7 linked regions of the Xenopus tropicalis genome follow. The protein of the gene in region 1 interacts with the protein of each later gene in a biochemical or structural test. Links are inferred from orthologs where the notes say so. Each region holds a gene or a part of one and is shown on either strand. Other genes may lie near its edges. The genes, in order: ube2n, peli1, otub1, trim63, rnf4, rbx1 and rnf8.

Evidence for each region.
Region 2: the proteins of ube2n (region 1) and peli1 form a complex in vitro, tested with the Homo sapiens proteins (2 studies listed by BioGRID). The link is inferred for Xenopus tropicalis from reciprocal best matches to the Homo sapiens genes UBE2N and PELI1.
Region 3: the proteins of ube2n (region 1) and otub1 form a complex in vitro, tested with the Homo sapiens proteins (6 studies listed by BioGRID and IntAct, with this or other methods). The link is inferred for Xenopus tropicalis from reciprocal best matches to the Homo sapiens genes UBE2N and OTUB1.
Region 4: the proteins of ube2n (region 1) and trim63 form a complex in vitro, tested with the Homo sapiens proteins (2 studies listed by BioGRID). The link is inferred for Xenopus tropicalis from reciprocal best matches to the Homo sapiens genes UBE2N and TRIM63.
Region 5: the proteins of ube2n (region 1) and rnf4 form a complex in vitro, tested with the Homo sapiens proteins (2 studies listed by BioGRID, with this or other methods). The link is inferred for Xenopus tropicalis from reciprocal best matches to the Homo sapiens genes UBE2N and RNF4.
Region 6: the proteins of ube2n (region 1) and rbx1 form a complex in vitro, tested with the Homo sapiens proteins (5 studies listed by BioGRID). The link is inferred for Xenopus tropicalis from reciprocal best matches to the Homo sapiens genes UBE2N and RBX1.
Region 7: the proteins of ube2n (region 1) and rnf8 form a complex in vitro, tested with the Homo sapiens proteins (7 studies listed by BioGRID). The link is inferred for Xenopus tropicalis from reciprocal best matches to the Homo sapiens genes UBE2N and RNF8.

Annotation. Positions count from the first base shown.
Region 1 is NC_030679.2:56,096,049-56,100,649, reverse strand, and holds the start of ube2n (ubiquitin-conjugating enzyme E2 N), read left to right. Parts: upstream 1-1,382; 5' UTR 1,383-1,400; coding exon 1,401-1,430; intron 1,431-4,601. UniProt on the Homo sapiens protein: The UBE2V1-UBE2N and UBE2V2-UBE2N heterodimers catalyze the synthesis of non-canonical 'Lys-63'-linked polyubiquitin chains. This type of polyubiquitination does not lead to protein degradation by the proteasome.
Region 2 is NC_030681.2:32,546,887-32,551,485, forward strand, and holds the start of peli1 (E3 ubiquitin-protein ligase pellino homolog 1), read left to right. Parts: upstream 1-1,647; 5' UTR 1,648-1,924; intron 1,925-4,599. UniProt on the Homo sapiens protein: E3 ubiquitin ligase catalyzing the covalent attachment of ubiquitin moieties onto substrate proteins. Involved in the TLR and IL-1 signaling pathways via interaction with the complex containing IRAK kinases and TRAF6.
Region 3 is NC_030680.2:36,046,006-36,050,728, reverse strand, and holds the start of otub1 (ubiquitin thioesterase OTUB1), read left to right. Parts: upstream 1-1,656; 5' UTR 1,657-1,727; coding exon 1,728-1,773; intron 1,774-4,723. UniProt on the Homo sapiens protein: Hydrolase that can specifically remove 'Lys-48'-linked conjugated ubiquitin from proteins and plays an important regulatory role at the level of protein turnover by preventing degradation.
Region 4 is NC_030678.2:76,882,153-76,885,016, reverse strand, and holds part of trim63 (E3 ubiquitin-protein ligase TRIM63), read left to right. Parts: intron 1-914; coding exon 915-937; intron 938-1,378; coding exon 1,379-1,503; intron 1,504-2,340; coding exon 2,341-2,406; intron 2,407-2,864. UniProt on the Homo sapiens protein: E3 ubiquitin ligase. Mediates the ubiquitination and subsequent proteasomal degradation of CKM, GMEB1 and HIBADH.
Region 5 is NC_030677.2:21,724,786-21,728,869, forward strand, and holds part of rnf4 (E3 ubiquitin-protein ligase RNF4), read left to right. Parts: intron 1-367; exon of another isoform or gene 368-445; intron 446-1,851; coding exon 1,852-1,966; intron 1,967-3,171; coding exon 3,172-3,263; intron 3,264-4,084. UniProt on the Homo sapiens protein: E3 ubiquitin-protein ligase which binds polysumoylated chains covalently attached to proteins and mediates 'Lys-6'-, 'Lys-11'-, 'Lys-48'- and 'Lys-63'-linked polyubiquitination of those substrates and their subsequent targeting to the proteasome for degradation.
Region 6 is NC_030680.2:115,969,901-115,973,878, reverse strand, and holds the start of rbx1 (E3 ubiquitin-protein ligase RBX1), read left to right. Parts: upstream 1-1,178; 5' UTR 1,179-1,187; coding exon 1,188-1,301; intron 1,302-3,597; coding exon 3,598-3,676; intron 3,677-3,840; coding exon 3,841-3,911; intron 3,912-3,978. UniProt on the Homo sapiens protein: E3 ubiquitin ligase component of multiple cullin-RING-based E3 ubiquitin-protein ligase (CRLs) complexes which mediate the ubiquitination and subsequent proteasomal degradation of target proteins, including proteins involved in cell cycle progression, signal transduction, transcription and transcription-coupled nucleotide excision repair.
Region 7 is NC_030681.2:2,800,790-2,805,627, reverse strand, and holds the start of rnf8 (E3 ubiquitin-protein ligase RNF8), read right to left. Parts: upstream 3,062-4,838; 5' UTR 2,984-3,061; coding exon 2,897-2,983; intron 1,689-2,896; coding exon 1,560-1,688; intron 703-1,559; coding exon 644-702; coding exon of another isoform or gene 65-643; coding exon 16-64; intron 1-15. UniProt on the Homo sapiens protein: E3 ubiquitin-protein ligase that plays a key role in DNA damage signaling via 2 distinct roles: by mediating the 'Lys-63'-linked ubiquitination of histones H2A and H2AX and promoting the recruitment of DNA repair proteins at double-strand breaks (DSBs) sites, and by catalyzing 'Lys-48'-linked ubiquitination to remove target proteins from DNA damage sites.

The sequences.
Region 1 (4,601 bases):
TGAGGCCTGCCAAGTGAAATTTTTAGAATGTTTGTATTTATTTCCTGGTATTTATGCACCAACATATTTCTGAGGCACCTTCTGCTTCATTGGATATTAGGGTAGTGGCACACAGGGAGATTTGTTGTCTGTGGCTAACTTTGGCAACAAATCTCCTTAAAATGCTTTCCCACTGGCAATAAAATGAATCTTTGGTGGGAAAGCACACATGGCTTGAGCACTATCTGCAAGGAGTTAGTATGTTCCCAGAGAATGTACCCGCCTTCCAGCCCGCTTCAACATGGCACCCGCAGGGTGGTATTGGGCCTGTAATGATGTCTGATGTGTGTCACACCAAAAACATACAGGCAAGTTAATTGGTTACTCATTTTACTGACCATAATGTGATAGGGACCTTAGACTGTAAGGGCAGTGGCACACAGGGAGATTAGCCGCCTGCAGTTAAAGTCAGATCGCTGGTGGGAAAGCACACACGTCACTTTGTTTTCCAGTCATGCAATGTTTTCTGCACAAGAAACTTTGGCCAATGTAGTGCTGCATATTCCTTTCCACCAATAAGTCACTTTATTGCCAGTGGGAAAGCATTTTAGGGAGTAGGCAGTTAACTTATCTATATGTTTTTGGTGTGTGAGATGGAACTGGACTAGCCAGAGCTACTCCAGACACAGAAAGAACATACCAACTCCTTGCATGCTCAAACTGGTTTTGAATACAGGATCCCAGCACTGCAAGGCAGTCCACTAAGCCACCATGAATTAAGCTTTTGTTGATGCTGGGGTTTCTGCAAAATGTGTAAACAATTTCTGATAGACTGGCTCTATACACTATTACCCCGACTTCTATTCAAGTAGAGTCTTATATTCTGTTACCAAAAGAATCAAAACATTTGCTACCTGCCTAACATTACATTCAGAGGGTGTTAATATGAAGTTGCTTTTTTTTCTGCTAATATAATAGTGAAGTCATATGGTTTTATTCAAGGTGTCCTACTTTCAGGCCTTATAGCATAGTCTGACTCCAGTTTCATTTCTTGTCTCGCCAGCTGTATGGGGTGGGGTGAAGCTGAAACCTCATCATGCTAACACGACTGTTCGTTTCTTACGTCTTGTTGGTTTTCAATGTCTTCTATGCTCGCTACAGGCAGTGCATAGAAGACATACTGAAACACTTAAGCATTGTTCCTTGGGCTAAAATGAACATTCTGACTACACACACCAACAAGCGTGATTACATCATTATACATGAGAGGAATAACGAGTCCCGTTACAACTACATCTCCCATGAGCCTGTGGGCTGTCGCAATGACGTCAGCGGAAGCGGATGCCGCGCTCTCACTTGTGCGTGACAGGGGGATCCGGTGGCACGCAGAGAGTTGGAGGCTGCACGCATTATAAGACAGGATGGCCGGGCTGCCTCGCAGGATAATCAAGGTAATTGGCGGCTTGTAGCTAGTGAAGTAGTAGCGATTGCTTTACGTTATGTCTTGGGCTTAGATCAGCGGCATTGATCCGAATGAATGGAGACAAGGCCCGGGAATGTCCCCGCCCTCCAGCCCGCTTCAACATGGCACCCGCCGGGTGGTACTGGGCCTGTAGTGATGTCTGATGGGGTTGAGGGTCCGGGGTCGCTATGTGTGCGCGCCTTGTATAGGAAACCACCCCAACGGGGATATGGGGACAACGTTATTTTTTGTGCTTGAAGTAAAACCTTGTGCCGACCACACCCACGCCATTTGCTTGTAGTCTGTTAGCGTTAAGGCTACATAAGGGTACAGATATGGGGGGGGGGGTATATAGGAATGAGTTACACTGTAGCACATAGGGTGACTCCCCCAGACACTGCATGCCATTACTAATACGTGTGCTTAGTGTTTAGGAGCTATATCGCATTTTACTGCATCAATTGACGGCAGAGGTGTCGGCAGTAGACCATTTTATATATAGGTAGGCTATTGATTAGTAAGGAGGGTATATTTCATCTTGGCTCACTATTTATTGCACCTCATTTAGTTAAATTGGGAGCCAAATAGTTCTGCTTGTCACTGTACCCCAATGTATTCTACATTTTTACATGGCTGTTGGTTGAGCCATGCTAAGGGGGATTTTACCCTTACTAAATACTAGCGCAGAGCTGCTTCTAGGTAAGTGTTACGTTTTTCTGGGGTATCCAGGTGACTTTGGAACAACTCACGAACCACTAATTAATTTAGGATCCTTTAAGCACCATATTATAATTCGTAATTACTGTTCTTCAGTGGCGTTTTCGGTCAGGTAAAGGTTATGGAGACCCAACCTAAGTAGCGTGGACGGGGATTCATTGTGGTTCCCCAACACCTAGATTAAGAATTCTTATTCTAGGTAAACTACTTAATGACACACAGAGCTACTAGTTGCAGCCACAAAGTACCAGAAAATACCCTTCTATAGATAATACTGAGAATTGTCTCTGCTGAAACACATATTGAGAATATTTACTGTTGTCTATTTTGTAGCCACAACAAGTAGCTCCATCTGTCAATGCTCTAAAGAGGCAACCAGGTTCCCTCTTTTGTGGTGTCTCTGCGTAATGTGCAGTCTCTCAGAAGACCTGTTCTTGTCCCAGCAGCTTGTGATAGGTTATATTTTGCCACAGGATTCACTATTAGCTTTTCAGAACTTCAGCCACAACATTTATTTGTGGAACGCATGGCATATACTTTATTCTGAAGTTGCATCATCCCTTTAAGTCAAATAAAGATACAGTTGAATGTCATATGATGTGAGGCACTGAAGGAAGCAGATATCTGTCCTTTAAATCTTCATGCTAAATGGTTGGGTAACTTAGGTTGATAGTATTGCCATTTACAGTGGTTGGGAAATTGGCCTATGAATATCAATATTGGACTAGGTACTGTGCTGAAGCCCAGATTTTACTTAAATTCTAATTAAATATTTTAAATGTTCATTTTTTGGGATGTCTGCCTCTGCTAAGCTCTATCTGCTTCACTTTTTTATGTGAATCAGTGACAACCATCTTCTATATTGTCAGCAGTGTTTCCACATTTCCTGTCTAAATTATATCATATATTATGCAAGATACTTTTAACCAGTATTTGAACCTTTTTTCCAACCTCACATGTATAATTAAATATTTTTGCTGGACTTCTTACATACATCTGATATACAAAGAAAACATTTCGCAAAATACACGGATGAAATGGAAGAAGTTTGTGGCTGGATGTGATGAGATTGAAAAATATAGCACACTCTTGCTTTCAATATAGTAGCTATTTAAGTGCATCGCTGTAACACATGCAGAAAAACTGGCATATAAACCATGCACCAAAGTGGTATATGTAGTTTAATTCAGCAGGAACAGATCACCAGCACTTCCTGTCATGATTCCAGCTTACACCACTTTAATTTCTAAAGCTAATTGCTGGCAACCTGTCAAAATGCTGCACTGAGTGCTGGGAGAGAGATGTTGGTGATGGTGTAGACAGCATCACTAAATAAAATCAAACGGTTAAAATCATTTGGCTTAAAAAGCCCTTAGATGTTTTGTTTTAATGCATATTATCATTTAATGCATATTTGTTGTAAAAGTTTTTGGTTTGTTTTGCTGTTGCAGTTAAAATGAAACCGTATTTTACATGTAAAATATTTATTTGAAGCTACACAGCAAATCTGAATCTCACTATGGCTTCCTTGGAGTATTTCTAACATACATAAGATAACATGCAGTGAAATAATGTGCCATCAATTGGGTGTTGACCCTTGGCAACAATATAGATATTGCCTGCATGCATTTTATTTTCCATTCAACGTTTATAAATTGTCTAATGCAATTATCATGATCTTCTGATATGTCTAACATAAGAAAGCTTCAGTTTTCTTATTAGCGAATCAAGTGGAAAGTCTGGTTTGATCTTGTCAAGGATCCATGTTTGTTCCTTGCTATCTGTGGTATTCTCAAAAGTTATTACTAACTCGAGTTCAAAGGCATCAGTACATTTACTGGCCTGCTTCTTTATTTTTCAGTTTTATTCACTATTACATACCATTTTTTCATGATATTTCTTGTCCTGATTTCTATTTCAGTTTATAGCTAGTTCACATGATTTTGCTCTTTTTTTTTTAGTTACCCTACCTGCCTACTGAAGATCTTTCCCACAACCATTCCTTATGGGAAAGATTAAGCCTTTTACTGTGTTGAATATTTATAGAACCTGTTGACAAAATGTAAATGCAGTTAGACCAAGTTGCAATTGTTTGATGTGTCAGAGTTGCATATTGATCATAATCCCTCCACTTTCCACTGAGGACATTCTAATTCAGCAGTCTTGATGAGCGAGCTGTGGAGACTGGTATGAACAACACGGTTCTAATATATGTTTGTTTAAAGAAAAAAAAGTGCGTTTAAAAGATTGCTAGGCATTAACCATTTTTCATTTTGAAAACCTATATAATGAAGAGCTCTCTCACTTGGTTAAGAGATTGTAAACCCAAAATTATATTTTGACTAAATAAAATGGCATTTTACTACATTAAGAGTTAAAACCACCCCTGTAGAACTGGAAAGACATGCTGATTTTAAATGCATTTTACATTTACAGATAGCAG
Region 2 (4,599 bases), on another chromosome or scaffold:
GTATTCCCTACATGTCTAGGTTTGCCACCTAGACAACAAGAGGTCCTCTGCACTCACCCATTATCAATATATATATATATATATATATATATACTGTATATATATATATAAAGAAGCATAGAGCTGCACACACAGGGTCTTTGAAAAAAATCCGACATTTCGAGCACTAACAGTGCTCTTCTTCAAGGACAAACCACACCGAGCACCGTTAGTGCCAGTCCTACACTCACTTTTATCTGATTCATTAAGAATTCTACTGCTTCAATATACTTTAACAAAGGGCTTGAGTTTTACCTACAACTTAAGCTGGCCATGCACACACCGATATTCAGTGCGTGTATTACGGCTCGAAGAGGCGACCGATATCGCAAAAGGCTGTGGATATCAGTCAAGTTGTCAATCGGCCAGGTTAAAAGATTTTGATCAGGCTCCACTGAAGGCGCCCAAGCAAAATCTACAGGGCTGAATCGCCAGGTGGAGGTAGAATTTCTATTGTTTCTACCTCCATATCTGATGATTCAGCCCTGAACGTCAGTGGAGGGTGGGAATGATCTTTGGTTACATGAAAGATCGGAATTGCTACGTGTATGGCCACCTTTACTTGCTTTCAAGGTTAAAACCCCCCAAAAATTGTTGCCCTTTTATTAACCCATTGGGATCACCTGACTAGACTGTAACTAGAAAGGGTGGGAGCTACAAGATGGAGCTGGCCACTGTTCCTGTATTAACTATAGCAAAAAAAAAGGTTGGGCTTACCACTAAATTTTAAACCATTAGGCAGGGGTACAATGAGGCTGTGACCACAAAATTCATGCAGACAAGAGGTCCTCTGCACTCCCATTATCAATATATATAATATATATATATAGGACATTAAGACATCCTGCGAATTAGACTACCAAGATAAGCCTTCCCCTTTAAGCAAAATAGGGATTGTTTGTCCATAAATGTAATACATTCAAGCTGGCCAACTGCATCAAAGTTATCCCTGGTCTGGCCAGTCCTACACTAACTTTTATCTGATTCATTAAGAATACTACTGCTTCAATATACATTTAACAAAGGGGCTGAGTTTTACATGCAACTTGCTTGCTGTCAAGGTTAAGACATTCTGTGCATTAAACTACCAAGATATGCCCTCCCCTTTAAGCAAAGCAGGGGTTGTTTGTCCATATATTGCAATATACTTAAATTGTGGCTATCAAAATTTAGATACTGCTGGAATTTTTACACCACTATATGGTCAGACACCTTGCCACAAGTATTTTGAATTCCCCCTTACTAAATACATTAGTACAGGGCACCAACTTAACCCACATGCCCTAATGTATTGCCTATATGTATCCCTAAATGAATGTTCTTGCTAGTAAATCTGAAATAGTTTGAAATAGTTTTGTGAACAATTATTACTTTACCAGGCAAACTAACCCCTTACCCTTATTTACAGATTCAGGATTAAAATGTTAATAATTCATAGAAATACATTGATTGAGGTAAGCTACTCTGCTGTCCTACACACTATAAAGCAACAACACTCCCTCTGCTGTATTTCCTACAGAGTTATGGCTACACATCCCATAGTTCCTTGCGGCAAACAAGCCGTGCCTCTCCGGCCTTGCTTGCTTACGTCACAGCCTAGCCATTCCTTCGCCTCCCAGCGCCTCACACAAGCGTTGTTGCTGCTGCAATCGCTGCTTCTAGCTGGGAGACAACGGGAACGATCCAGTTATTGTTCGCTAAAGGAAGAGGCGGAGGCGTAGAAGGAAGTGGTCTCCGAGAGGGGATATTCCCAGCTTTTATTCATTACACGGTCACTGCCTGGGGTAAAGGCAAGGTGCTGCTCTGTTCCGCCCTCAGCGCCCAGCTGGGTTTACAAGGAGGCGAAAGGAATACGGAAAATCGTGTGCGGGGGCCCGGTTGCTATGTAAGTCGTGAGAACCTACATCTACCCCCCCCCCCCCCCCCCCCCCCCCGTTTGTGTAGTTGTAATCTGCCTCGGGTGCGCGCCTCGTAACCCAGTGATCGCCACATTGCTATAAAGCTTTACTGCTGGCAAGGAAAGGGTGCGCTAGACCGGGCATGGCCAACCTGCGGCACTCCAGCCTGTGCTGGGGGGAGTGTTCGTCACTATCCCGGGGGCTGCACACACATACACCCTGCCTGGGGGTGGGGGGCTTTGGGAGCTGCAATTCATCAATAGCTGTTTAGCATCAGGTTGGATTTCGCTGTCATCTTTAACCAACTAAATCAGCATGACACCATCCCAGGCCTAATGTACACATTTGTGCGCTAGTTGTGCAGGGATGTCTGTGGTACATCACGTTTAACGTGGTTTAATTGTGAATCATATCCTCTCAGTTGCATGGGAAGCTCATGTACGTCAATTGCCAATTTCCATGGTAGTGAAAGGAGTTGAGTTTTGGTGGAAATGTTGGTCAGATTGTTCTGGTTGCTGCAACTCTCTCTGTCACTTGGACTTGATCTGAGAGGTTATGGCAATAGAGTCATCTAATTATTATCATTTTATCTTACTCATTGGACCATCTGGCTTACAATATGTAGCAGGAGCGAGGCCTAGTTCTTCATAGGTATCTTTTGTATCTGTATCTTTTGAGTATTGTGCTCTAAATTATTCTGACTAAAGCTGGCCATACACGTGACGATCTGACGATGTTTCGTGCGACCATCGGTCGCACGAAACATCGTCAGATCCACCACACACCATTCAGGGCTGAATCGGCAGGTAAGGAGGTAGAAACAATAGGATTTCTACCTCCTTCTGCCGATTCAGCGCTGAAGGGAGATTTTGGTCAGACGCCTTCTATGGCGCCCGATCAAAATGTTCCAACTGGTCCGATCAGCGAGTCGGACGATATCAGCAGCTTCCTGCAATATCGGTCGACTCGCCGACATACCATACACGCACCAAATATCGCACGAAACGAGGTTTCGTACGATATTATCGGTGCGTGTATGGCCACCTTTAGCCAGAAACACCAACATTGCACCCTCTTTTCTTGCCAATTTGGAGAGAAGATCCTGCAAGTTGCAGTGTTGGATGGGCAGCCGTGCACCCTCTTTAATCTAAATGGCCATGCTTTTATTTGGGTCTGAATACTTTTCTCTTTATTTGAATTTTCAGTTTGACTGATTTAAATCTCAAGACAGCTGGATTAGGTGATTTTAGATTTTACACTAGATGAATTGGACACACTTGGTCTGCAGTGTGCACAAGGCCTTAGTATGAAGATTGCTGTTCTGTTGAGCATTTGCTATGCTAGATTGTGGCATTATTTTCCCTTCCACCTTTGGTGAACCCTCCTTGGGTCTTTATATTTGTTTGGCAGCTGTTGCCCCACGCACACTTCCAACCCACACAGACTGCCTGGTGTTTTTCTGAGACTGCTCAACTCCCAGTCTGTTTCTACAAATACCTTTGGTTGTTTACTTGCTTTGTATGCATATACTCTTTATTAACCGATAGCATTATAGTAGCTTTGTGTAATCTGTTCCACATTTCAAGTTTAATTGTATATGACCACATGACAGAGAACATAATATACATGTCATTGTACCATTTTTGGTAGCATAGGAGTTAATATGTAAGGTTGGACATTACGTTTTATAAGAAAGCTGGTTACTATTGATCCTGTTTTAAATATACAGATATGGCTCGAGGCTGTACTGTTTATCGTTTTGTGGTATCTTCCTTTTTGTAATCAAACACAAGGTCCCTTGTCTTGTCCCATTCATGGAGAATCTTAATTCAGTCTTATTTGGCAGCATTGCTTGTCTCTTGTCATACTGATGCCTTGGGTTTTTTTTCCCCCTTTTTAAGCAATTTCCTGTATGCATTCCACCCAGTCATGTCTTTTTTTCATTTCTTCTTTCCCACTCCCCTTGTTAAAATGAGAGCTTCCTCTCTGTTGTTGGAGCCTTCCTGGGCCAGCTGTGTATTATGGCATGGGAGCAGTTCTGTGAGCTTAGTTCATTGTTCTCTCATACAGTTAATCCTCCAAGCGTATTTGTCTGGGCTCATGTACTCATTCTGTTTGTTATTACTGTGTACATGTTGCACACTTAGAGCTCTGGCACGCGGGGAGATTAGTCGCCCGCGACAAAACTCCCTGTTCGCGGGCGACCAACCCCCCCCCCCCCGAACCTCGCGAGTCTTTTTCGCGATTTCTCGAAATAGCGCCGCCGCGTGTGCCATCCCACCGGCGACTTACATTGTCGCCGGTGGGATGGCAGGTGAAGGCAACTCGGGGAGATTAGGCGCCCACGAACAGGGAGATTTGTCGCGGGCGACTAATCTCCCTGTGTGCCAGAGCCCTAAAGGTGGCCATACACGGGCCGATTCTAGCTGCTGATATCGTCCCTTAGACTGATTCGCCCATGTAGGGGCACCAACGACAGGCCTTGCCTGACTGATATCTGGCCTGAAATTGGACAGATATTGATTGGGCAGGTTAAAAAATTTAGTCAGATCAGGGGACCGCATCGGCTCGCCAAACGACCGAATTAGCCTGAATTCGCCCGATATCACCCACCCATAGTAACTGTACTTTTTCCACATACTGTATGTGTTCTACTAAGTTG
Region 3 (4,723 bases), on another chromosome or scaffold:
TCACAGGGGAAACACAAAGAGGGATCCATTTTAGAAACTGGTAAGTAGTTTGTGGGCTAGCCCAAAACCCACAGGATCTGCGGGTGATAAAGGAGGGCTGCTAGAAATCTTTGCAAATGGCTTTGAGAGTGAATGGATTCCATGGGAAGAGCAGTACAGAATTACAGAATTCCTGGTTCTTACAAAAGCAACATTTGACTGCAACTCTTCTTCTGTGCCAATCAATCCATTGATATGGGGATTGTGATGCAGTAGCAACCTTTGCAACTATACCCTTGGTTGCTCTTAAAGGGGTGGTTCACTTTTAGTATGTTATTGAACACACCAATAGGCCAGTTCTTAGCAACTTTTCAATTAGTCTTCATTATTTGTGGTTTTTTTTATAGTTCTTTTATTATTTGCCTTCTTCTTCTAACTCTTTGCAGCTTTTAAATGGGGGTCACTGATTCCCTTAGCAAATTATAAGCATCATTCTTAATGACTAGGCTATTAAAACGCCAGCCGGGTAGCAACCCTTCTTTGCTCCACAAGTTCATTGACTAATTCTGTGTAGTTTTCACCAGTTAAATAGTCCACTGACAGTGGAAAAACCTGACTGTGCTTTAAAGGGGAAAACCACCCAAACACAACTTAAGCTTTTTGAAAAGTAAAGATAATTTCAAGGAACTTTGCAATATACACCAATTAAAACGTGCACCAGTTACAGGATTTTTTTTTTATATATTCTTTATTTTTGATTTTTCAGAGAAAATGGGGTACAGAAAAAAAGAAGGGAATAGGGTAAGGACATTTGAAATGATCTGCATTTACAAACAGGTTGTGAGGTCAGGAGTAACAAAAGTTATTACTTTTAATTTTAAATACATTTGAGAAAGAATAGAAGCAAATAAAAGATAAAACATGTCATCAGGGACTTGTTAGTTTTTTAGAGTAGTGGTTCTATAGGGTCTTATGTCAACGGGTTTGTGTATGAAAGTTGTTGATAAATGTTAGCCAGGGTTCCCACCAGTTACAGGATTTTAATGTAATATTGTGGTTTATAACAAAGCCTGGCCCCTGTTGACTTGCTGATCTGACTACTCAAACCAATATAACAGTAACTGACTGTCCTCCTCCTTCAGCCTGCATGCTCCAAATCCCACAATCCCCTGCACACATCAATAAGTGCAATGCATTGTGGGTTATGTATTTCCTGCATGCTATGTGTAAGCTGTGGTGATGTTACAATTTGTAACATCAGTGTTTTAGTCCCTCTTCCCCTGGCAGGATTTTCAAATGATACAGAAAGGGAAGATTGTTTTGCAGCTGGATTTCATTATATAAAAATGGCATTTAGTCATACTTTTTTGAAGAAACAGATTACAGTAATAGGTATATTATATTTTGTGTGTTGTGTGGGGCTCTCTAACAAATCTTAGTTCGGAAGCTGACGTTCCCCTTTAAAGTAAGGAACACTTGGTGACATAGAAAGCTCAGTGAGTATTACAGGAGACTAGTCTAGCACCACATATAACCAATGAAGTATACATAGCACTAAAGGTATTCAACTATCTCGTGCTTAATACAGCCTGCTTAGTATCGCCTGGCTGAGCGCTTTATTCTACTATAAACTAGCGAACAGTTACTATAGGAACCGTCTCATCCGGCGCTGTGCTATGAAATTAGGGAGGGACTTCCGGTTTGTAGTCTCCCGGAAGTGATTGGAGTGGCGGCGGTCGGTTGGAAATATGGCGGCGGAAGAATCTGAGCGGCAGCAGCAAAGTGATTGTGACGGTGAGAGAGTTAGTGGCTGCGGGGTGTACCTGCGTGTTCCTATCGGCTTCTCACAGTATAACGGGGAGTGGGAGGGAGGAGAGAGGTGCGGGTACAGGCTGCAGGGGCACACACAGGGGCACATACAGGGGCACATACAGGGGCCATACACAGGGACACACACAGGGGCCATATACAGGGACACATACAGGGACCATACACAGGGGCCATATACAGGGACCATACACAGGGGCCATATACAGGGACCATACACAGGGGCACATACAGGGGCACACACACAGGGGCCATATACAGGGGCCATATACAGGGACACACACAGGGGCCATACACAGGGGCACACACAGGGACCATATACAGGGACCATATACAGGGACACACATACAGGGACACACACAGGGGCCATACACAGGGGCACACACAGGGGCCATATACAGGGACACACATACAGGGACACACACAGGGGCCATACACAGGGACATATGGACATACACAGGGGCACACACACAGGGGCCATATACAGGGGCCATATACAGGGGCACACACAGGGGCCATATACAGGGGCACACACAGGGGCCATATACAGGGGCACACACAGGGGCCATGGGATTCATATGGAAATGCACAGCCCGCTTGCATTAAAGCTATCTGCTCTGTACGTCTTTACAGGGCTTTGTTTATTTAAGGAAGGAGATATCAGATCTGATATCATGCATTCTCTCCCTGGAGCTGATTAAGTTAATTGTCATCTCAATCTATATATATTTTTTATTAAATGCACCAAGAATGGAGGTACCACTGTGACAGACACATCTGCTGCTATCACCAGAGCTGTCAAGCCCCCCCCTCCACCACTTCTTTGGGAGTCAGACGATTTCTCCAGTCCCCCAGCAGTGTTTTTCCATTTTTGCCGAAGTCCTGAAGTGAATTTGATGCATGCATGTATAGTAAGCGTTCAGTGACGTAAGTTGATGCATTTGTGCGTCTGTGGGGGAATTTTTCAGCTTCAGCAGCGATTTTGCGCATGCCGTCGCTTCGAGAGGCCTGCGTGACGTCCATTATGTCACTTCCAGGTATGGGGGAACATTTTCTGTTCCCCTGGAAAGCCTAGATGTCAGGTTGACAACTCTCTATCCCCCATGTCCAATACAATAATCATAAAGGTGGGCGAGGCAAAAGAATTCCTAGGGATGCTGATTTGTTAGGCGCCTCTCGGTAAGTATAATCGTGCAGCGTGTTCGACCATATTTTGTGCAGAAGCACAAGGGTACCCTAGATGGTAATATTTTTTTTTCAAAGAATATCACTGGGTTGGGGAATTCAGTTACAACAAACCAGCATTCCCTGCTTATTTTTGGTTGGTTCTCCTTAAGGGCAGTGACACATGGAGAGATTAGTTGCCATGATTTTTACCACACTTCCCGTTACACGCACATATATACAAGTTGCCATGTATAGTGGCTACTCGCTCAAAAAGAGTCCAGTGGCTACTTGGACCTTGTGGAAAGGGAACTTTGGCGATTTGTCACCATGATCAGGCTTTTTTCAAAATCTCCCCATGTATCGTTGCCCTTAGGGCAGGGGTGGGCAAACTTCTCGGCTCAGGGGCCACATTGACTTACAGACAGGCCGAGCCAGCGTTACGCCATTTCCGCTCGTCAGTCCTTTGACACCAAGTCTCTCATGACAAGACTTGTGGAGTCAGCGGGCCGGATTAAAAAGACCAATGGGCCGAATGTGGCCCGCGGGCGTAGTTTGCTCCCCCCTGCCTTAGGGTAATGGCACACTGTATACTTTATAGTCCATGTGAAATCGCCTCTCTCACAGACAACAAAGCACCTAAAATAAATTGCATTTGGTAACAGCAAGAATCACTGTCAGGGGCAAATTTGGGACCAATGTCACTCTGAGGCTGCCTTCCCAATGTAGCCTCCCTCACCTCCTCCCCACACACCCTTTTAGCATCAGAGAAACTTAATAAGCCCCTGGTAACCTACTGGGCGCAGCCTCCTGAGGCAAGGAGCACCCTTCATCACCATGGGTGATATGAAATGCGTAACCACATGAAATTGCCCCCTTATGCACTTTGGCTGATTACACAATATATATGTTTTACCTGCGCTAATTCTTGTTTGTGGAAATGGTATTTTTTAAGGACACTTTGTTACCTAACGATGAATGCAATTTACCACAATTTGCCCAGTGTTATATCACCCTTCATTGGGTAGTTCACCATCAGATTAACTTTTTGTTTACAGTGGTATTCTGACACAATTTACATTTTGTCTTCATCTTTTCATTCTTTGTGGATTTGTTTTTTTTTTTTTTTACCCTGGAATTTATTTCTGCCCACCATGCCTGGGCTTAGGCCCTACAGTTCCAGGGCACAAAGAGCCCCTCACAGGGCCCAATATAAAGCACCAGTCTGTTCTCAGACATCTTGCAACTGAAGCTTTAATTCTTTCTGGTTTGCAAACTATTTAACATTTTGTTCCATACCTCTACAGTTTGGGATTTAAATGATCTGGTTGCTAGGGTCATGCTTATACTAGCAGCGAGCAGTGATTTGCAGACTGCAAGATGAAAAGGAGAGTGCCTGAAGAGGAAGTTACAAATATTAATAAAACTCTTGCCTCAAGATTTTTTTTTATAAATTAAAGTTTTTATAAAGTTTTTATTTAGGATTTTAACAACAAAAAAATAACAGTTTAGAGAAAGAAAGCAGGAAGAAGAAAGAGTATAGAGAGTCTTGCCTCAAGATTAATTTGTATTTTTGCCAGGGTGATAGTATTATACATTTCAGACTAGCGAAAAGTATCACTGCCAGTATAACTTTGCTAAACCTTCTTCTTTGTTTCTTTTCTGTTAGTAACTAGTAATTCTATTCATCTTGGTGCACATGTGACCAGTTGTGTGGTTGCAGGGGTGGTGCTTTCTTTGGGCGCCCCCTGCC
Region 4 (2,864 bases), on another chromosome or scaffold:
GAATACAAAGTCAAATTTTGTAACAGTGAACTATACCTTTAGCTTCATAGTGCACCATTTAAACTTCCGGATTAAAAGATGTATTAAATACAAAAAGCCAAGCAAAAACAGGCATAAAGGAACAGTAACATCATGGCTACACAGCAGCTAACTTATATAAACTATAGTAGTCTTTCTGAGGCAAACACACCAGTTGTAGCAATGCAGGGCAACTGTACATTATATTGTAATTACTTTTATACACTTTCATTTTTTGGTGTTACTGTTCCTTTAAGTGCCACTGCATTTTAAACAGATCTGGCTCTTTTTATGCCAAAAATTTTTGCTGTAAAGGCAACAAAAGAACCTTAGAAATACACGTTATATTTTGTATGACTTTTTTGGCATAAAATATATATTTTTTTAAATATTCTTTATTTTCAAACATATAATATGGGGGATACAGAAGGCAAGAGGGAAGGGGGGTCAAAAAACAAGGGCATAAAATATTTTACTCGTCTTTATAAATAGGCCTTCTATTGTATTTATTCAGGGAAGTTGTCAAGCAGATTAAGCCACAATGCAAACAGTGCCAGCCAATTGGGCAGAATACCCCCTGCATCCAACTTGCAAGAACAGTATATTGCGATGCTGCTCACAGAGTATTAAATGTACCTATGTACCTACCCAGAGTATGTGACACCACAGTTTTAAAAGGTTAATACAGCTTTCAACACAATCAGAGCATAATAGGTCAACACACCCCAAATATAGTGTAAATTAAATCCAGGAAATACAAATTGCCTGTGTCTTATAAATTTATCCTTTAAAAATCCATTTATAGCGGTCTAATTTAGTTTAAACATTTTCTATTTCTTATGTTGTACCTCTCTTATGCTGTGCTAAACCTTTTCTTTTCTGCTGTTTTCCTACAGGAGTCCAAACAGCTTATTAAAAAGTAAGTAACATTCCAGATCCAAAGCATGAAAATCATATGATTGTTACCTACTGCATGAACTGGTGATTCAGCCATATCGAGTTCATAATAAAACAATACCAGTGTGCCTTTTGCTCAGAGAAGCAACTAGTAAAAAAAAATGAAAACATTCAAAGGATCCAGCAGTAAGGAAGGGCTATAGAAAGAAACATGGGGAGGTGACATAAGAGGAAGTTGTAGAATGGCAATTAGTGCAAGGAGTCGTATCAGCAGGTAGCATTTATTTGTCAAATACATGTCTGATGCAAAAGCAAGCATTGCTTTTGATTTGTTGCTATGGGTCATTATACTTGGGCAAATTTTGCCCATTTTTATTTTATTATATTATGTTAGGGATATCTAAGAATGCAGCTGTTCAGAGTGCTGTTCAGCTTATTTAAATGTTAACTCTTGTATTTGCAGGCTAATGGAAGCATCCAAAGGCTGCCAATTGGAGAAGACTGATCATGGATTTGAAAATATGGACCAGTTCACCCTGGATATGGAACATGTCAGCCAGTGTCTGAGAAGCATTGACTTCACTCCAAGTGAGCTGAGAATCATGGTTGGAAAGGATCTTGTTTAATGCAGGATTTGGGGTGACAATAGCATTTGATAATAAGAATATAGTCATCATTGTTTAAAACAAATACAGTCTACAAAGGAATTTTCTTAAAGTAAATCAGTTACAAAAATTATTTCAAGTAATGTAAATTAAATAAAAAAGTAGGACAATTATTTGCTGCTTTCTGTCTTTTTCCAGCTTTCAAATGGGGTTCACTGAAAAAAAGTAAAAAAGAAAAAAAACTATTGCTCTGCGAGGCTGCATTTTTTTTTTGTTATTTCTATCACTATCCATTACATAACTTTCTATTCAGACCCTCACCTATATCTTTATCTTGAAGTCTTAATTTAAGCCACTGCCTGGTTGCTAGGGAAATGGGACAAAAGCAAGCAGATGAAAAATGAAGACCAATTGCAAATTGTCTCAGACAATTGTCACTCATCAAAATATCTGTTCAATCATAGTTAAAGTTTATGTAAAGTTGAACTACCATTACATGCTTTTTATCGAAACCAAAAATAAAGGCACAAAAAAGCAACAGTAAATAAAACACTCACCAAGTAGTAGTAGTATAAATTAAAAAAAATCAAATACTGAAAAAAAATAAAGACAGACTGATTTTGTCATTGGGTTTATTTAACATATCTAGTCAAAAGGTAGATATTTGTCACCATGGAACAAATGTAAAATACACTCTTTCTTTGGTCAGTGATTTTGAGAACCTGTTAGAGGAAACCCATAACTGCATCAAAATAGACTAATGAGAATGCTGTATCAGCCATTTGGGAAGTACTGTACCGCTAAATGTTATTTTTTACAGACTGTGATGAAGATGAGGAAGATGATATAGAGGAATATGAAGAAACTGAAGAAGAAACACTTGAAGGTAAGAACATTTGTCATAGACAAATTTACACATATGTCTCTATAACAAAGGTCATGGTTTATATTGCATCTGCATGAGTCTCATGGTGGTATCCTGCAACTATTATTACAGAGGCACTAATTGCATTAATATTTTAGTTCCCCCTATTTACCAAGGCTTGGTTGCAACCATTATATTAAAAAATCCTGCTCCCCATGAACATTTCATTTTAGCATTTACTATCCAGCCACAAACTATATTTTTAATCCTGAAGTAGCTTTGGCATGACACAGAGATCAAATCATATGGGGGAACATTCATTAAAGTACGAATCTGAATCACGAAATCCAATCATTTCTGATGATTGCAAAAGTTATGAAGATTCAGTTCGTTTGAATACTAAGCTTTCGTAATTACGATCCGAAAGTTCAGAAATTTCCGTATTGAAGCAATCGTTTACAATTGGCGATCCAAAAGTC
Region 5 (4,084 bases), on another chromosome or scaffold:
TGGGTTAATTTCTCCAAATTTCAAGAGGACCATAGCAATTCCCAATTGTTTCAGAATTTAATATAGTTAATTGCTAAATACAATGTAGAGCTGGTATGTAAAACATAGTTGGAACTAACCAATCAGAACTGTAACGTGGGCCCCAAGTACAGAACATAAATTAAAAATATTTTAACTTTATTAGCTAAATCCAAGATACTTACAATCTGTTTTGGGGTTAATGGACCTTTAAGGCCGCAACCCTGAGATGGTGTTGGTGTTTGAGAAGCTCTTATTTCCAGGCGATACTTTACTTTTAAGGTGATTTTTTTGGATATTCAATTGTTTGGTGGGTAAGCAAGTGATTTTCGGTTTTGTTTCACTTTAGTGACTTTGCATAGGAAAAAAGTAGAAGATCGTAATTCTGAATAATAAAACGAGTAGAAGGGAGTCTTGCTTATCCAAGGTAACTGAGACTGAAGCATATTAACTAAACAGTCACCTAAAGTCACTATAACAAAAACAAAATATCAAGAGACAACGACATATGCAATGTAAGGCATGGAAGATGTGCTGAAAAGTTGATGAGTGTTTTATATAATGTATTTATATGTATTGCTGCACATGAAAGTATATAATTGACTAGCAAAGGCTAAGCAGAATTCTTGTAAGGTGTTTATGGTATCTCGTGTTAAAAAAAAAAAACCTTTGCTACACACCCAATACTTGTGGTAAATGCAATTATAATAACAGGGCATTTGTGTCAAGTGTGTTTGTACCCATCTTGCAATGTCTGGCTCTGTTGGAGCAGATGCATCATTTATATTATATTTACAATGTGTCCAGCCTCTGTTCCCCTTATAAACATAGGCCTTCTGTTGGGTTATATATATATATATCGTTTTTTTTTCTATAAAATTACTCTAAACAACCCCCAGAATAACATACCTTAGTTCCTGCATTCAGTCTGATCTGGTTTCTGATTTATAAGTTCAAATCTCCAGCTCCTTTCCTCTTCTTCCTGGTACAGTGTGAAGCCCTGCCCCCTCTTCCTGTTCAGCTCTCCTCATCTATTTGACTACAGAATAAGTGTGCAGCAGATTTTTTTCTGTGCCCATACATAACTGCCTGACTCGCTGGGCATTCCCAGAAACCCACCTGAAAACCTTAGACCCTAGGCCCGCTTCCCAAACTAGTTTTCCATATTTCCTCACCCAACCTCCTTTATTCCCATTCAGAAATAGGGAATGACCATGAAACAGGCCAAATGGTCAGGAGCAGGAGGGCCCACCGGGAGTTTTCCTGGAATCCTGGTGGGCCAGTCCAACACTGGAAGGCTCTCCTCTTAGACTACCCTGTAGTTGAAGAGATGAGAAGAGCTAAACAGGAAGAGGGGGCGTGGCTTCACGCTGTTCCAGGAAGAAGAAGAAAGAAGCTGGAGATTTCAACTTATAAATCAGAAATCAGATCAGACTGAATGCAGGAACTAAAGTATGTTATTCTGAGGGTTGTTTAGAGTAATTTTAAAGATGGGGGGGGAAAGTTTACTTCTTCTTTAAGTGCTTTTCTATGCATATCATAGGCAGATACTCAAATGTGCATTTTCTGTGTTATAATTTCTGTCACTCGTGATGGCCAGTTTGAGTAACACAGATAATAGGCTTCAGAGTGCAAATTTCTGCGTAGGTATATAACCCTGTACAATCCCCCCGTGATTTGGATGGATTCTGTTCTGCTAGCCTTGGTCACTACTACCCTGGCCTTGAAGGCAAAGCTGCCTGATTGGCTGTAAGAACAGTTCTTAATTGGGGAGGTCAAAACCCCTCCAACATAAAGCTATGGTTTTTCCCACTGGTTATTTTTCCCCTCCAGGCTCAAAGAAAACGTAAAGGAGCAGAGCCAGGTCACTCAAAGTCGTCCAAGAGAAGGGCGCCAGGTTCCACTGCCGCAATGACAGCGGCGACGGAGCCCATTGAACTGGAAAGTGGTATGTTTTGGCTTTAACTTCAAGTTATTGCAGTGGCTGGAAAAGGCAGGAGGTCATAGAGCCACAGCTTTACAGAAATACTATTGTTGAATTTTGGTGAAAAAAATATATTTTTCTTTAAGGTTCATCCTGACTATGTGTACTGTTGAAACAATATAGCAGTAGTTAGCTTCCCTATTGCCTCTGTGCCTTACACTTACAGGTTGATTAACAATAACAAAGCAAAGCATTGTGGGAATTAGTGTTTCCAGCTGCTACTTTGTTTCAGGGGTGCATGTAGTCTGGATCAGCAGTGCCGGGAATAGCAAAGGACAGACAGATGCTGCTTTCAGTAACAGTTGACTTACTGTAAATACAGATTTCTTAGGCTTTTAAAGTATAATGTAAAATTTGCTTAGAGCAACATTTTTATATCTAGGTGTTTAAAAAATAATTCAGTAGTGTAAGGATCAAAATAGTATCTCTCTGAAGCCGAAAACCTATGGTTTATTTATGGTTTTCATTATGCTAGGTTGCTTTATAAACATGTGAGATGGATATCAGAACTCACAATAGCAACCTTTTACTTATTATAGTATCTTATTCTTGTGCTCTGTGACCATAACACAGGTTAGTCCGGTGGTTCCCACAGGGTTCTCCCCAGTGCCGAGTCGCTGAAACCATTGGGCAAAGTAGTTCTTTTACCTGGGGGGGGGGGGGTTCCTATTACATCAGCCCTTTGTGTGCCTGGGGATGGGCACAGATGGATTGTATAATTCTGCTAATGGCTACTTCCCTATAAATAAAGAACATAATTACCCGGGCTCTGTGCATCCCTAAAACACAAGTGCTTTTATTGATTGATGTTTATTTTGAAATCCTTTTTCCTTGGTGATATTTCAGCAACATTACAGTGGGCTGTGATAGTAAATGGGAGTCACTGATTATGGCACAGAAGCATATTGATACATGCAGCAGAGCAGATGAAATAACCGCACTCATGCACCCACATCTGAACCACTTACCAACCATTCAGTGTCCACCTCCTCTCCATTTAATCTTATAAACTCCATATTTTCAGTTAATCATTAGCAGCTTTAATTGGCTGAGAGTTCTTTGTCACTATGATATATTTCATATATTCCACCTTGTATAGAGTTGAGCCTAGATATATTATCAGTTTTGTGTATTTTTGCCCAGTTATCAAGGTTCCTGTATTTTTGCAGGGGAAGAAGTTGTTGATCTTACGTGTGAATCCACGGAACCAGTCGTTGTCGACTTGACTAACAATGACTTGAGTATCAATGACTCTGTTGTTGTAAGTAAAGTGCATTTTGGGATGGGTGTGTATACTGTGCATGCATGTTTTTTTGTTTTCTGAGTCAATGTATAGTTAAAGGAAAAATATACCCCCAGAATGGAAAGTTAACCAGCAGATAGTGTGTATCATATTAAGTGTTCAATTAAAGAATATTCCAAACTGGAATATATATATCAGTAAATATTGCCTTTTTACATCCTTTCCCTTGAGCCACCATTTAGTGATGGGCTGTGTGCTCCCTCAGAGATCAGCTGACAGGAACTAATGCAGCTTTAACTGTAACAGGAAGTAGTGTGGGAGCAAAGGAAGAACTCTGTCCATTCATTGGCTGATGGGGCCTAGCATGTATGTGTGCCTTGGCTTGTTTGTGTGCACTGTGAATCCTATGATCCCAGGGGGCGGCCCTTAGTACTTAAAATGGCAGTTTTCTATTTAGGATTACCCAATGGCACATACTACTAAAGTATATTTTTATGAAAATGTTTTATTTAGATGAAGCAGGGTTTTACATATGAGCTTTTTCATGGATTCTATTTTTATATGGACCTACATTGTTTGGGGGGTATAGTTTTTCTAGTCCTATTAAATCCTTAATAAGGAAACCCCAGAACCATAAAATCATTTTGCCCAACCTCTAGTTCATCCTTATGGCTGAAAATGTGTAAGTCTTGGGTCTGCATCTCCACAGGGGCTGCTAGGAGCCAGCAAAAAAAACAACCTAGGGGTGTTAGAGAGCCGATATTTAAACAATAGAGAGAGCTACAAAGTGGAAATTAAAGAATCTCATAGGCATTGGTTCAGCCCACCAATGCCTATAA
Region 6 (3,978 bases), on another chromosome or scaffold:
TTCATTTTTTGTAGCTTCATTCCACATAAAATAATGTAAATGTTGATTTTGCAGGAGCTGAAATGACAGAAATGATAGATCATATAGGGGTATTTTCATTTTAGGGCCCCTACATTGCACACACTTGTGGAAACCTATACATATTTTGCCTGACGAAGGGTCCTTAGAGCTCCGAAAGCTTGCAATGTTATTTTTATATATAATACTCTTGTATTTTGTTTTTTTTATTATTATTTTTGACACTGGCTAACACAGTACTACAGTTTTAGCTTTGTGATAAATTTTGATAAAAAAACAATAATTTTAGGAAAGCATTGCAACTTCGTAGTTTGGAGTAGACAGACAGTTTTAACCTATTCTCCATTCCTCAGAATCTGTTCTTTCCAAAAATGTATAATTTTCTGGTATAAACCTTCTGAAATGTAGGTGTTAAAATCTTAAGTATGCAAGCTTTCTGGAGCAGTGCTTTGGAAATTTGGTAGGTAGTGTACCGCTGGGAATTTTTGAATCACACAAATGAGAAATCGACATAAAACTATATATATATTTGGTGCTGGCACATTCAGGAGACATGGGACTTTCCGAATCAGTTGTATTTTTGTGCATAAAATCATTTGTTTCTTTTATATGTGTTTATATTACGGAAAACGTGTTGTTGTTTTTTTGTTGTTTTTGTTTTTTTTAATCTTTTAGACATTAAGAAGCCTATATCTTGTTCCAGAATTGGAATCACACAAAAATTCTACCATATTTTGAAATCTTAGGTCGCCCCCCCCCCCAAAAAAAAAAGATATATTGTTTTCCTGTGTAAACTAAAAGTCCCCCCAAGGAAAGGCCCTAAGAGTGCAAAATGTTTCAAAACAGTCTGGCAATACAAGTTCTGCTTTGACCAAATCAGCTGGCAGTGAAAGGGTTAACTGTTCAATACAGAAATATTTTGCTTAACCAGAACACCACAGCCCCTTAGTGAATACGAACAGATGAAAAGGCTAGCTTGCTTAAATCTGTACATTTTACTTCCCTCAAGGAGCATGTGCCTACGCCTTTAAATAAATTCTCTCCAAGCCTGCAGACCGCAGCTCTTCCTCGTTACCGTCTTCCGCCCCCACACACATTACTAACACGCCCCAAACTGTGCGCCTTTAATGCTAATCACATGACCAAGGCATCAGCCCAGCTTTCGGCGCATGCGCCATATAGACCCGGAATTTCCTCTTTTCAAAATGGCAGCCGCAATGGATGTAGACACACCAAGCGGAACGAATAACAGCGCTAGTAAGAAGCGCTTTGAGGTTAAGAAGGTAAGTGTGCTTGCTTGCGTATGTTATGGATGTAGCAAATGATCAGAACAGTCTTTCTAACTAATACTTAAAGAGGGCGACAGTGCAGCAGCTGATACTATTCAGCTAGATTGCTTGCGCCCTAAAGCTTTTTAGATGTTTGATTGACGTGTTTTCCGCCGAATCAAATGTTAAACCCTAATACTTAGGGCGGTCCGTTTTGGCAAAGCGGTGATTTCTGTCGTTCCGGCGGCCCAATAGCGGATAGCTACTGATGCCACAAACGATTGGATGAATTCTAACCAATGTAAGTGCCCCTCTCAGCTGCACTGGGAGGCGGGATCATGTAGCCGCACTTCACGAGTTTGCGGGGGAGCTGTAGGGCCACAGACATTGCGTGGTCTCATTTGCTCATTTGTTTCCCTGGAGGAGGCAGGGAATGTGTCTTGGGCTTTTAGCGGTGTGAGAGCAAGAAACGGGGCTATTTGATAAAAAATAAATTGTTGAACAAGTAAATGTAGGGGTCAAATGACTTGCATTTAGCACATGTAGGGGTATATTAATCATGCTGTGTAAAAAGTGGAGTGAAGCATTATCAGTGGTGTTGAGCTGGGTAACCAATCGGCTATTAGATTTCAACAGTTCTGATTGGCTGCTATAAACTTCATCGGTGATGTTTTACTCCACTTTTTGCACAGCATGATATATATACCCCTACGGTACAGGAGCTGTGAATATGCATTCTCACAGCGTGATGATTTTGCCACCATAGTTCTGCAGGGCATGGTGTGTTTAGCTTACAGTATCAAACATGGTGTATGTGCCATTGTTGGTGTATGTTGCCATTACAGCCTCCTCTCCCTCAGACCCTGCATACCCTATACTTAAAGGAAAACTATACTCCGAAACAATGTAGGTCTCTAAATATGTATTGCATATACAAGCTCATATGTAAAACCCTACTTCATCCAAAAAAGCCATTCTCATATAAATATACTTTTTTTTGTAGTATGTGCCACTGGGTAAGCCTAAATGAAGGCTGGGGCCAACTGGGCTTTTTCCCCAGTGTCCCGTAGCCCAGTCCAACCCTGATTAACAGTGGCTTTCTTTCTTCCACTACTGGGCAGTATTTGTTGTATTTATAGCCTTTCCAATTTCAGCCACAGAGTTGTCATGGGTCTCTTAGTGACCTTCTACATTATTCTTCTCCTTGCACATTCACTCTCTTTTCGTGGATGGCCTGTTCCTGGCAGATTTACAGCTATGCCATACCCTTTCAGTTTCTAAATGATAGATGTAACTGTATGTCCAGTTATAGTTAGAGACTTGGAAATTTTCCTATTTCCATCCCCCAACTTGTGCTTTAAATCACCTTTTTATGGAGTTGCTTAGAGGGTCCTTCTCCCTTCATGTTATAGATCAGTTATCCCCAACCAGTGGCTCATGAGCAACATGTTGCTCACCACCCCCTTTAATGTTGCTTCCAGTGGCCTCAAAACAGGTGTTTATTTCTTAATGTCTAATTTGAAGGCAAGTTTTGTAGGCATAAAGACCATCTGTACTGCCAAATAGTCTCCTTTATTCTGCCAGTTTGCATTGGGCTACCAAATAACCAATCACAGCCCTTATTTGTCACTTTTATCATGATTGTGTTGCTCCCCAACTTTTTATATATTTTTTTTTTTTTAATTTGAGTGAATTAGTGAAAAGTATATGTTTATGGTATAGACACTTTATTTGTTAGAAATAAGCTCCTGATGGAGCTGTTGTATACAGTCTGACCTGAGATTACTGTTAAAAAAAAAAAAAAAAAAAAAAGGGGGGGGGGGGTCATCAAGACGACACTCTTATCCAGCTCTGTGTGAGGCTACATGTTGAGGTAACAGGGTCTGCCAAGCATCTAGGCCAGAGGCAGGCCAAGCCGACCGGGCACCTAGGCAACCTGGTCGGCCACCTTACCCCTGCACCCTCCCATGCATAATACCCACGTGCAGTGAAGGAAATGACAAGTTAGTGCAGACTAGGGGGAGGCAGGAGAGGTACCTGTCTGGCACCCATTATTCCGGCCCTGATCTAGGCACATTGATATTGGTGCCTTCATTGAGCCACATTTGGGCCACGTTTAACCATTCCAGTAAGACTCCAAAGCCATTGTCTGGTAAAACTGGCTAAACTAGTAAATCGAACATACCGGTAATTCTATACACATGAACCAACTTAGAGCAGATTGTGCTAAGTGATTAGATGAGTTTTAAAACATATTTAATTTATTGCCAAAATTTACATCACTTTAACTTTTTTTTCTTTTTTGTTGCAGTGGAATGCAGTTGCCCTTTGGGCCTGGGACATTGTAGTGGACAATTGTGCCATCTGCAGGAACCACATCATGGACTTGTGTAAGTTTCCTTAATTGAACTTTAGCCGATAAAACAACTGTTGTCTGTAAGCAACATTTTAGTTAGTCCCAGTGCTTATATATACATTTATCTTTGAAAAAGTGAATAACCCCTTTGAATGGTACAAATGCAGAAAATAAAAATAATCCTCTTGTATCTTCTAGGCATAGAGTGCCAAGCAAACCAAGCTTCTGCTACTTCTGAGGAATGCACTGTGGCATGGGGTGTGTGTAATGTAAGTAGCTTTGATGGATATTCAGTGACTTAGTATCAAATATATAATATAGTTTTTTTGGAGAAAC
Region 7 (4,838 bases), on another chromosome or scaffold:
AGGCCTTGGGCTCACCATGTTGTGCTGTTCCTGCTGGAATATCTGCTTGAGTTCCTTCACGCTCTGCAGATGCTGCTCCTGCTCATTGCTCAGTTGGTTGCGCAGCTCCTGCAGCTCCTTCTGCACCGCAAGGACACAGTTGGGGCCCCGCTGGCTCTCGGGGGGGCAGTTCAGCCTCTCCTGCACCTCCATCTGTTTCTCCTGCACTTGCACATTCAGCCGGCGGATCTCCTCCATAGTTTGCCGGACCCGGGAGAGCTGCAGGCTGCTGCGGCACTGGCGCTGGGTGGGGGCCACCGCATCGGCATCCAGAGAGTCATTGAGTTCAGGCTCCACCCCAGGGAGCGTGGGCCCCGCCCTGACCGTAGGCTGCGTGACCAGGGGAGGGGGGCGGGAGGATTTGGTCGAGGCCTCGCCCCCCCTGGAGACCCGGCACAACTTGGACGGACCCTCATTTCCCGAGGCGTCGGCCTCCTCCGCGGTGAATTTGCGCTTGGCCCTCGGGGCTTTGGCCTTGCCGGGCAGCGGCCGCATTACAGAGCCCGACACCTTGTCCAGATGCTCCCGGACCAACCTGTACTCAAACTCAGCACTTTCCGCGTTGGGTGGGGGCACCCCCAGTTGGATGAGGGCCCCCTCGCTCAGGGTGTAGGCCTTGTGGGGCTCCAGTCTCTCCTTGTTCCTCCAAACCCCATTCAGACTCTGGGAAGGGAGAGACATTGCAACAGTGCAGGAAATGAAAGCACCAGACTGGGCTGAATAGGAAAGCAAAGCCCCGCCCAGTCATACCCAGCCCCGCCCAGTCATACCCAGCCCCGCCCAGTCATACCCAGCCCCGCCCAACTGCAGAGCCTGCACCCCCCCAACCACAACCCTACAAATTATACAGAGTCCATTGATTGCTGCTTGGCCGCTATGGGTTACTACTCCTGGGCAATTCAGCAGGAACAGCCCCCTAAGTTTGCCCATAGCCTGTACAGAGAGATACCATAAAACTATGGCACATAGGGATTCCCCTGTACTAAGCACAATTCAGCAGGAACAGCCCCCTAAGTTTGCCCATAGCCTGTACAGAGAGATACCATAAAACTATGGCACATAGGTATTCCCCTGTACTAAGCACAATTCAGCAGGAACAGCCCCCTAAGTTTGCTCATAGCCTGTACAGAGAGATACCATAAAACTATGGCACATAGGGATTCCCCTGTACTAAGCACAATTCAGCAGGAACAGCCCCCTAAGTTTGCTCATAGCCTGTACAGAGAGATACCATAAAACTATGGCACATAGGGATTCCCCTGTACTAAGCACAATTCAGCAGGAACAGCCCCCTAAGTTTGCTCATAGCCTGTACAGAGAGATACCATAAAACTATGGCACATAGGGATTCCCCTGTACTAAGCACAATTCAGCAGGAACAGCCTCCTAAGTTTGCTCATAGCCTGTACAGAGAGATACCATAAAACTATGGCACATAGGGATTCCCCTGTACTAATTACAATTCAGCAGGAACAGCCCCTCACAGACACAGTAGGGGGTGTATCTGGGGGTGCAGGTACCTTGTTATCAGTCACAGTCCACTCGCCCCGGACGTTCTGCTTGAAGAGACAGTGGGTGCGGGAGATCATGAGGGGGCACAGGGTGGGTTTCAGTTGGTAGGTGACCCCCAGGCCTCGGCCCATAGTGACCTGAACACAAACAGAGAAATGAATGAGACGCACAGACCGATATAATCACTGGGGGGTCAATTCTCTGGGCTCCCCCACCCAAACTCATAATGCTCTCTGCACCCCAAGTTTCCCCCAACCAAGGGTCTCTCCCCCAAACCTTCCTCCCCCCCCCCCCACAGTGCCCCCAGGAAACTGCCCCCCCACAGTGCCCCCAGGGAACTGCCCCCCCCCAGTGCCCCCAGGGAACTGCCCCCCCACAGTGCCCCCAGGGAACTGCCCCCCCACAGTGCCCCCAGGGAACAGCCCCCCCCCACACAGTGCCCCCAGGGAACTGCCCCCCCACAGTGCCCCCAGGGAACTGCCCCCCCACAGTGCCCCCAGGGAACTGCCCCCCCACAGTGCCCCCAGGGAACTGCCCCCCCACAGTGCCCCCAGGGAACTGCCCCCCCACAGTGCCCCCAGGGAACTGCCCCCCCCACAGTGCCCCCAGGGAACTGCCCCCCCACAGTGCCCCCAGGGAACTGCCCCCCCCACAGTGCCCCCAGGGAACAGCCCCCCCCCACACAGTGCCCCCAGGGAACAGCCCCCCCCCACACAGTGCCCCCAGGGAACAGCCCCCCCCACACAGTGCCCCCAGGGAACTGCCCCCCCACAGTGCCCCCAGGGAACAGCCCCCCCCCCACACAGTGCCCCCAGGGAACAGCCCCCCCCCCACACAGTGCCCCCAGGGAACAGCCCCCCCCCCCACACAGTGCCCCCAGGGAACTGCCCCCCCACAGTGCCCCCAGGGAACAGCCCCCCCCCCACACAGTGCCCCCAGGGAACAGCCCCCCCCCCACACAGTGCCCCCAGGGAACAGCCCCCCCCCCCACACAGTGCCCCCAGGGAACAGCCCCCCCCCACACACAGTGCCCCCAGGGAACAGCCCCCCCCCACACAGTGCCCCCAGGGAACAGCCCCCCCCCCACACAGTGCCCCCAGGGAACAGCCCCCCCCCACACAGTGCCCCCAGGAAACTGCCCCCCCACAGTGCCCCCAGGGAACAGCCCCCCCCCCACGGAACAGCCCCCCCCACAGTGCCCCCCACGGAACAGCCCCCCCCACAGTGCCCCCCAGGGAACAGCCCCCCCCCCCCACAGCGCCCTCTCTGTTCCTCCAAGAGCCCTGCCCCCCCAAACTCCCCTAAGCCCCCCGGACTGTTTGGCTGCTACAGGCCCCGCCCTCACCTCCTCCCCGTCAGGCAATGGCAGCGACTCCTCGCTCCTCCCGCAGCGCCTCAGGTACCAACACATCCCGGGGCCTCCGTCCGCCATGTCAGGGGCCCGGCCCTTCGCCCCGGAGCAGCCAGATAAACCGAGATGTACAACGGCCGCCTATCCGCACAGCCCCGACCAACCGCAGCCCGAGTTATTCACCCGCCGCCCGCAGGCAGGAACAATCGAGCGCCATCTGTGTAAGGTCTGGGTACGGGTCGCTGTTGGGTCCAAGCGGCGCTTCGGCCTCCGGGGACGTCATGCACACGTGATGCGCCGCGTCCCTCACTCCGAGCGTCTATGAACCGTATAGAAACTGTATATAAACCGTATGTATGAGGTGCGGGAATCCCTCCCGTTACACCGCGCCGCCCGCTCTCACGGATTAGTGATGTTTAATACAATATTCTGCGTTTAAACCGTCCCTTTAGCTCTTGCGCTGACGCCGATCCTGATTGGCCGCTTTGGCGCGACGTCACTGTAATCTCGCGAGAATTCCGACATTTCCCGCCCCGTTATTGGGTTTGTTCAGCTTGGGGTGTTACGGAATAGTATATTCTTAGCAAATTTTCAATTGGTCTTCATTTTGTTTTTATTTTTGTCTACTTGTGTAATTATTTCCCTTCTTCTGACTCTTTGCAGCTTCCAAATGGGGGTCACTGACCCCGGCAGCCAAACCCTATTGCTCTGTGAGGCTCCAGTTTTATTGTTACTTTTCATTATTACATTTCTATTTAGGCCTCTGACCCTATTCATATTCCAGTCTCTCCTTCAAAGCACTGCCTGGTTGCTAAATTCAATTGGACCCTAACAACCAGATAGCTGCCTCTTCCAGCAGTATAAATCTCTCTGCAAGGGCTGATTTATTGAGAAATTCCACCAAAACCCCACTAGCCCCGCCCATCTGTGCCACTTCCTGCCGCCTCCTTTCCCAGGCTGTGCAGGGGGGCGGCGGCACTGTAGGATAGGAACCAATCAGCAGCTAGGCTGACCTGATAGGGAACTGAAGCCTGTCTGTGCTTGTGTGAGTGCAGGGCTGTGATTGGCTCTCCCCCTCCTACTGTGCTTCTGGCAGGGACCGTTAGGACACGCCCACCCCTCATGAAACGCAGACACCAGTGATGTTGCCTATAGCAACCAATCAGCAATTAGAATTTAATGGTCGCCTACAAAAGCAAAGATCTGATTGGTTGCTATGGGCAACGTTACCGATGATGTTGCCCTACACACTATAATAAATATGCCCCAGCTTGGGGTGATTGCGGCAGTTCCAGGTATTTATGTTACAGTCCTTTATTTCCATCCTCAGTGGGTGCGAGCATTGGATCAGTAGCCCCCGCGGGAGACCGTGGCACCATGTGACACTGTGGTCCAATGATAATGCCGCCCTGCCCACTCATCCCTCTTCTTTTATTGGCTCGTGGGCAAAACCTCTCTTTAGTGAGAATCCAAGGGCCACTTACCTGCCTGTAGAACCTTTACAGCTGCCCCCCCCCTCTGGTTTGGGTAAGACTATGGGTGCCCTGGTTCCTTCTCCCCATCTTCCCCCCCCCCCCGCGCCAACAAGCTGACCCTCAATGATTTGCCCCAGGAGGCTGGAGGCCTCGGGGTCTTAGATCCTCCCCTTGTTACTTTGTGCTCCTCGTCTCATTGGCAGAAGCCTGGTGATGGGGCAGGGGAAGGGCCAAATCCATACTATATACACATTGGAGGTCCGTTATCCAAAGCCGGATCCACTCCCCCAAATCCCTGACAGCCGGGTCAGCACACATGGGGTTTGCTCAGGCTGAAATAAAGGCTCCCAGGATGCTTTGCACTTGTTTTGTAAGAAGCCCAGGATTCCCTCTGGGGCCCCCGCAAAGATAGGGCCAATCCGAATGATTAACCCCCCTTGCTAATGGCACCACTGGGGTGT